Nothobranchius furzeri: one gene and its partner. The protein of the gene in region 2 interacts with the protein of the main gene of each other region in a biochemical or structural test. Links are inferred from orthologs where the notes say so. Each region holds a gene or a part of one and is shown on either strand. Other genes may lie near its edges.

Region 1 (4,132 bases), on a different chromosome or scaffold from region 2:
CACTTTACACCAAAGCTGATTGTTAAAAAGTCCGGATCCCTACCAACTTCTGTTGCTGGTGGTGTTACCGGGTTGAGCTGCTGCTCTCACACCGGAATGAGAAGATCTCTGAATGGCGACACTCATATAAATAAGTAATGTCATTTTAACACACGTAATCATACATCGGAGCTTTAATATTGTTAATAATTGTCTCACTTTACACTACAGTGGACGGAGTGCAGCCTCTGTGGTGAAATACCCGTCCATCAGGATTATCAATAACTTTTATAAACACATCACATTTATCCCTGTCCCTGTCTTCCTCGAGAAATAAAAGAACCTTAATCTTACCCGGTAAAAACATGTTCGCTGCAAATCTTAGGCCTGCTAGTCTGCTTGATTGATCGCTGCAGTTCATCTCTGTCCTCACTGTCCATCAAAGTTATTTAAAAAAAAGAGTTGAGTTTACATCCGTGTCTCTTAGTGCAGCCAACCACACAGCAAGTTAAAACCATTTTCCTGTCAAATCAACTAAATAAAAGTGATAAAAGGCTACAAACTGGCTTGTTTTGGCTAGCTTTGCTGGCGTTTCAACGGGTGTAAATGGTCTTTTTGCCGTCCATTATGGCGAAGGGGGCGGTCACATGAGTGGCGCGCAAAGGGTCAATAGCATGTAGAGATAGTTTGAAAAACAACCGTAGGTCCTGCCCTATGACTGAGCTCCATCTATGGGTCGTGGCCAGACTATTTAATGTATATGATAACTTGCCAGGGTAGGCATCCCTCTGGAAGCCTAAATCAAAGTCAGAAGGTTTCAAAATGAAAATAAAACCAAGAACATTTTGTGGAAATCCTCTGGTTGGAGATTCACTTTCTTAAAAAAATATTTGACTTCAAATTACCTTCTGATGAGCAGTCGTTTAACTTTAGTGCTTAAACAAATTTATTAAAGGACCTAGTATTTCTTTTAAATAATGAATCCATAAATAGTTACTATTTTTCTGAACCCGAACAACAGACTACCTGTTTCCACCGATTCTTACAGAGAATGTTTGCCTACATTGTTGTGACATTTGCATTTAGAACATACCATTTTAAGTATTGTATTGTAATTGTGTGAGGTAAATTTTAAAGCACCGTTTAATATAAGAATTATTTAGCAAATTGGATAACCTTGTCATTTTTAAATACGTGTGATTTATTTTGGAAATCCTTAGCGGAAGTGGTATGTGTACAGTTTTCCAGCTGGACAGCTTATGAACCCAAACACTAGCACGTCCGCTCAACTGTTCCGCAGAGAGCGGGCACGTCTTGGTCTGAGTCCTCTCGTTCCGGCTGAGCTTTAGCGGTCACCATGCCTTTTATCGAGCATATGTCCAACGCGGACCTGGAGCGGCTGGCGCTGGACCGGGTCGTGCCGGCCCTGCTGACCCACGGCTTCTGCTACGTGGACGGACTCCTCGGGGAGCCGGCCGGGAGCGCGGTGCTGGACCAGGTGAAGGAGATGCACCGTTCCGGGGAGCTGCAGGACGGCCGTCTGGCCGGCACCGTCCCGGGCATCAACAGGAAGAGCATCCGCGGGGATAAGATCGCGTGGGTGAGCGGCACCGAGCGGGGATGCGAGGCGATCAGCTTCCTGCTCGCCCTGGTGGATCGGCTCATCTCCGTGTGCGCCAGCCGCCTGGGTAATAAAGCCATCCGAGAGAGGTCCCAGGTAAGAGCTCCACCTGGATAAACTCCATGGAAACATTCCCGTCATTCCTGAAACCTAATCCAAAATATGTCTCACTGGGAGAACTTCAGCTTTCTCTTTTATCTTGTCACACCTGTAAGCTGTCCATACCTCAGGCTGGAGTAGAGCATGTGTTGATCATAATGAATTACCAAAAAACTACTCTACATAAACTTTTAACCAATCAGGAAATGTGTATTTTCATGGAATAAAATGTTTAATCCCAAGCTGTTCTTGACTTTTCCTGGTCTGTAAGTGTGTTGGACAGCCTCCACTCGTGTTTGTAAACAGCCCACACCTTTAGTCACATTTAACTTCCTTTCATTTTAATGTAACTGCGGCACCATCATCCTTTTGACAAAATCTGATTAAAAAATCTACATTTTGGTTTATTTTCTGATGCTTAGTTGTTGTTTTTTTAGCCTTTTGGAGAAAAAATTCATTACTTTTTCAAGTTTACTTTTCCCAAAGCGTTTCTCGGAGTCTAAAAATAACAACAATGGTAGAATTCAAATGAATGAACTAGTTTTACTTGTTTATGACATTAAAAAAAACGTTTTGACAGAAGAAAACTACACAATCTCGACTCTTAAAGACACTGGAACCAGGTTTCATTGATATTATGTGATCGATGGCCCCACCACCAACCAATTTTTAAACATTTTCAAAATGCTTTTTTCCCCTTATTTTTACAATTTTTATATATTTTGTTTTTGTGAAGCGCCTCGTGATTTTTATCTTGAGAGTCGCTATAGAAATGATATTTTCTTCTTCTTCTTCTTCACCATTTTTAATTTATAAATTAGGATTAAAAAAAGATAAAGAAATAAAGTTTGTGATTAAAACGAAGGCTTGGTGCGTTTAAAACCTGGAAGAATGCACTTTCAGGTGAGAAAGCTCGATTCTTCCTGTTGCTGTGGGATTGGGATTATATCCCAAAATTATACAGTTTATAAAAGGCATTCCTCTGAGGGTGTGTGTAATCTGTAATAATCTGGGTCAGGTTCACTTGAGAACGTGTCAACAGACTGTTCGTGACGGTTTTTTCCTGCGAGGAAACCCCAAGCCGTGCCATCTGATAAGCATCTGCTGCCCTCAGCTCAGCGGACACTTCCTGTTTAGGTGTGGAGTTGACAGCTAAGCAGTGAAAATGGGTTTCCTCCTCCTCATCCACTCACTTGTTATTGTAGACGACCCGGACGTAGCTCACAGGACCTCCAAGGATAATGGAACATAAAATGGCCCACGCACAGTCAAACCTGAGCCAGCATGTGTGCTGTTTGAGTCATGCAACCGAGGTCGTAGCCTTTTAACCGCAGGATACACCTCTGGTGATATTCACAGATCCTACTTCCTGTCAGCTGGGCTGACATCATTTATTTTACCCCAAATGTGGGTTTTACTGGACTTGTGTGTTGGGCGACAGGTACTGCACCTAAACGGGATAGCTGCTGATACAAAGATGGTCAACATTACGAGGAATTCTTTTACTGATCTGGAATTATCTTGGACCGTTTTGTAATTTCTGAGTGTTTTATACGGAGGTTTTAATCCCGTCTCACCTGAACAACTCTAAAACGAGTTTTGTTGCTGGCGGTGCCACTTCCTGCCTCTAAAGCTGAGCTTTGAGGGAACTTATTTCCCGATTTTTCTGGTAATCACTCCTGAAGTCAGCTGAGGTATATTTGAGAACCCCATCAGCAGACTAGTTTAGAGCCTTCGGGGTTCTCAGCTACGTGTGCAGGTTTGAGACTCTTATTGTGAAGGTTTGCAGGAAGTTTTGTGAACACTGCAAGCCTTCACCGTGTGATTGGTAAATCGAGCTGCTAATCATAAGTAACTTGGTTCAAAACAAACCCAGAACCCTTTGAGACACAAATGATAATCGTGACAAACGCCGTCAGAGGCGTTTGGCTAGTGCTAGCTTAGGTTTCTGATCATTAAAGGTTTTTTGTATCAACATATTATTACATATTACATTTAAGTACAAAAGCATTACAATGCCATTTAGTTTAGCTTAGCCCAGAAGGCGTCGTGAGCGCAGATGACCATACCACCCCAGGCAGCTTGGTTCTCACGCATTCAGAACGTTTGTCTCTAGCTGAAGGACACAGCCGTCTGGTCTGATGCACCTTCTCCCTGTGTGTTTACCTTTAGGCCATGGTGGCGTGTTACCCAGGAAACGGAGCAGGTTACGTCAAACACGTGGACAACCCGAACTGTGACGGACGCTGCCTCACCTGCATCTACTACCTCAACAAGAACTGGGACCCCAAGGTACAGCTCACACCTCTGCCGCTGCGATGGCTGATTGTTGCAAGCATTACGTTACAAGCATTTCCCCACACGTCACATATTGTGTAAAAGCAACGATATTGCTTCTGTGCCTCAATAACTGTCCAAAGGCCAACCTGCACT
Region 2 (4,076 bases):
TTTGTTTCCATAAATCTGTCAGATCAACTCTTATGGGCTCGACACACGGGAGGCGACATCGCCTCTCCTCCTTTCATTTTCAATGAGACATACGCGTCAAAACGATCATCGCGGGTCTCCCTCCTACCAAGCGAAACGCGAAAAACGTGCGTGTGAAATTTTGCGCTCGTGCACGTGTCGTGCACAGGCGACCCAGCGACGCGATCCCAGAAAGTTGAAACATTTTCAACTTTCCGTCACTGTCACTCGGGCGAGGACCAATCAACGGAGGTTTCATTCACTGACCAATGAGCGGACAGGATGCTCCGCACATCTCCGAGCTAACATGGAGGAGAAGTTGATTATTATTATGTTTTATAGTAAAATCACAAGTAAAATTTCACATAACTCTAGCAGCACCTTGTGAAACATCATATCTACCGCTTTATTAACTCTGAACCGCTTAAATAACCTTAATTCCCTCCAACCTGAACCAGCCAAACAAAACAACGGAAGTTTCGATTTCGCCATGGAACAGAACGCGTAGACGGCTTTGCCGCTGCCGCGGGTCGCCTCCCGTGTGTCAGGTAATAAAAGCGACAGCGACGAATTTCGCTGATCGCGGTCGTTTGTCGCCTCCCGTGTGTCGAGCCCATTAACAGGGCCGGCTTTGCCGACAGGCGACACAGGCGGCCGCCTGGGGCGCCATCTGATGGATAGGGCGCAAAATTAAAAAAATAAATGAATAAAAAAAGTTTATTAAATTTATGTTTGTAATATGAAATGCACTCTCTACATACTCAAAATTCCCCTCTGAAATGACATAAAATTAAAACATCAATATTTAAATTCTAATGATCTGGCTGCATGACGAGCTCCCGCTCGGGCCACCGCTCCGATGCATTTGACCGTTAAGGGTGCCGTAGATCACGCGCGTGGGCAGCACTGTAGGACACCCTGTTGTCGCCGCGTTTAAACTTTTGATATATTTTATGATGAAAAGAACACCTAAGCCATCGGGATCAGCATTCCGAAAGCGAAGGAAGGAGGAAGAAAAAAAGACGGGCCCAAAGCAGAGGCATGTACACTTTATACATTTGGCAAAGGAACTTTTTGCGTTACCATTGTAGCTAACTGCCTCTCCTGCCACGCACGGTCCATGGACGGACCCTTGCTAGCTGTTTACATACACAATACAGTATCTCATAACTTTAACCAGTTAATTTTACTTTTGAATCGTCGTGTCCAGATGCAATGAGACAATATCTGCAGCCTGTCGACAGGCACCTGTTGACACCACGGGGGCTGGGACTGTCTTCTACACCTGTTGAGCCTCACTGTGAAGATGATGAAGAATGTAAGATTTTTTTACTGGTTTTTGGAGTATGATTGCAGCCTTTTTATGAACTTTGTTTCAAGTTTTAAGCACGCATACAATATGAATTTCAACTTTGTCCTTCACATCGGGCGGGCGGCACCGCCGCGGCCGTGGTGGGGGCTCCCCCGCTGCCGCCGGGCCCGACGGGGAGTGAGAACTGCCTAAACGCAGCATGACATCTTATGGCGTCTCTTTCTTGTTTACGCTGCAGCGTCTTCTATCCAGGCATCACGCAGCAGCACATTTACTGAGCTACAATCTCAGCATCTAGAACCAGGTGAGTAAGTTACTTGGGGGGGGGGGGGGGGGGCGCACATGGGTAGTCTCGCCTTGGGCACCAAATTACCTAGAGCCGGCCCTGCCCATTAAACGTGCATTTTGCTAATATCAGAATCAGAAAAGGTTTATTGCCATTGTCAGTGAACAAACAATTCACAAACTATAGGAACTTGCTTCGGTACTAACGTGGTACATATAACATGAATAATATAATTAAAAATAGAATAAAGTAGAATAAATAATATCTATGAGAGTTTGTTTTTGGAGGAAATCTATCAGATGTATGATTTAAGGTTGTCTTAAATCACCCCAGATGATTAAGTCTGAGGGGATTTGGAGGTGACGTTTTAACCTCAGAAATATTCGTTAACCTGTATCAGCTGTTTACCACGTGACCAAACGTCTTTACCCCCACCGGCTCCTCCATCATTCTACATCTGCAACTTCTGAGTGTTTCCTGATCAAAGAAAAGCCGTGCGTTTGTTGGCACGAGACAAACAGCTGGTGTCTCTTTAACGAAGTCCAGCCCGGTTGGTTTTGCGTCTGTTGGATAATTCCAAATGACGTCACCTGACACACGCGCACAGAGGGAAGCGGCGTGAGTGTGTGTCCCGGTGTCGGTTACCTTGCAGGGGAACGGTAGTGTGGAGGCCACCTTCTCCATGGCCAGGTTCCGGATGCTCGGGCTCAGCGGAACGCGGCAGGTCGGGCAGCAGCTCAGCTTCTGGCGGCACGGGTTACAGACCAGGTGCCCCGCCTGGCACTGCAGGATGGGCGGCAGCACGTAGTCGAAGCACACCGGACACTCGAACAGCGCCGTGAGCTCCGGGGGCTGCCCGGGAAGGACGGCGGAGGGCAGCGACACAGAGCCCGACCCGGCTATAGTCCCCACACCGGCGACGGCTGCCGCTGCAGCGGCGGCTGAGGCTGCTCCTCCCGGGCCTCCGTGCTTTCCTCCGCCTGCTTTGCCGGCTCCGAGTCCTCCGCCTCCGGCAGACGACGGACGGCTCATAGCTTCCAGCTGTGGTCCGGTTGTTGTGCGGCCGAGCAGGTGGTACTGTCATTTACTATTTACAACCGGACGTCCCTCCGGGGTGAGACATTTGGAAACGTAGAACGTCCAAGGAAGGTCCCGCCTGTCTTGCCTCTGATTGGCTGAAAGTGCTCTCCTGCGATTCCGCCTAGTTTGCCGCCAGATCTAGAGCAGCCATTCATAAAGAAATTGGCTGTGTTCAAGATAAAGCCTGGCTCTCACCTGATCTAAGATCTGATTGGTTCACATTTTGATCCAAACATCCGGTGGTAGAACATGAAATGTTAGTTGGTCACATGTATTCTGTAAATCATGTAACGATGATGATGACAACTATATAGGCCATAAAGAGGAATGTGTTTTGTGTTCTTCTGCCACGTTTCCTATGAACACACTAAACCTACAGCTGATAACCTTTACTTATTATTACACTCAGATCTCCATATACAATATATGATATCCACAAGCACGTGAGGATGTGTTTCAGCTGCTAACAGGCACCACAATTAAAATGGAAAATTAAACAAGCGTGAACGCTAACGCGATATCTTCAGCCATCGTCACCCGTGAGCTACACATGTAGGAAATTGTGTCTCACTTAAACACCGGCTTTCAGCCGCTCCCCCTGCTGCTTCCGTCGTCTCCCGTCTGTTTTCCAGGCGAGGCGCTGTTCAACTCAATCATGGCCTTCGTCAGCTTAGCGCTATAATAACCATTCTGTCCTCTTTTGCATCAGTCCAAGTTCCGATTAAAGGAACCGGAAACACGTTAAATGTGAGCTTGTAATACAACCTATTGCATTTTATCACACTGTTTACAAGTTAAGCACATTGCTCATCTGTTTAGTTGAAAGCTGATCATGATTTAGACCTTTTTTTAAGCTGTTTTCATTATTCCAGAGGAGAGACAGACCTGCTGCACACAGCTGGGCCACATAGGGCAGTTTTATTATGCTTCCTACCAGGTAAGGCTCACGTGTTTATCCTGTGTACTCTGATTTTAATAAGATCCTCTCAATGCTTGAGAGCCGAGAGGTATAAAAGGAGTCAACAGTGTGACAAATAAGTTCACATTTTACGTTTTTCAGTATTTTAAATAAAAGAAACATAAAACAATATTTTACAAAACTAGACAGAATGGTGCTAAGTTGACATTTCTTTACAAAACTCGCCAAAACAGCTGTTCTGTTGGCGGCAGGACAGACTGCCCATAGCCAATTGTGGTAGAGTCCTTCTAGCCAATCAAAGGCCAGAAAGGCGGGATCTTCCTTAGACATCCTACGATTCCAAATGACGTATCCAGCGCTGCTCACACAACATGGGGGCTGCTGTTTTGGATTGTATTTAACGCGCAGCTATTGGTTGGATGTACCCAGAGTGACATGACGCTAAGCCAATCAGCAGGAAG

Evidence for each region.
Region 1: the proteins of siah2l (region 2) and egln3 form a complex in vitro, tested with the Homo sapiens proteins (2 studies listed by BioGRID). The link is inferred for Nothobranchius furzeri from reciprocal best matches to the Homo sapiens genes SIAH2 and EGLN3.

The regions. Positions count from the first base shown.
Region 1 is NC_091758.1:7,726,490-7,730,621, reverse strand, and holds the start of egln3 (prolyl hydroxylase EGLN3), read left to right. Parts: upstream 1-1,222; 5' UTR 1,223-1,336; coding exon 1,337-1,696; intron 1,697-3,871; coding exon 3,872-3,991; intron 3,992-4,132. UniProt on the Homo sapiens protein: Prolyl hydroxylase that mediates hydroxylation of proline residues in target proteins, such as PKM, TELO2, ATF4 and HIF1A. Target proteins are preferentially recognized via a LXXLAP motif.
Region 2 is NC_091750.1:26,734,159-26,738,234, reverse strand, and holds the start of siah2l (E3 ubiquitin-protein ligase Siah2), read right to left. Parts: upstream 2,880-4,076; 5' UTR 2,649-2,879; coding exon 2,262-2,648; intron 1-2,261. UniProt on the Homo sapiens protein: E3 ubiquitin-protein ligase that mediates ubiquitination and subsequent proteasomal degradation of target proteins.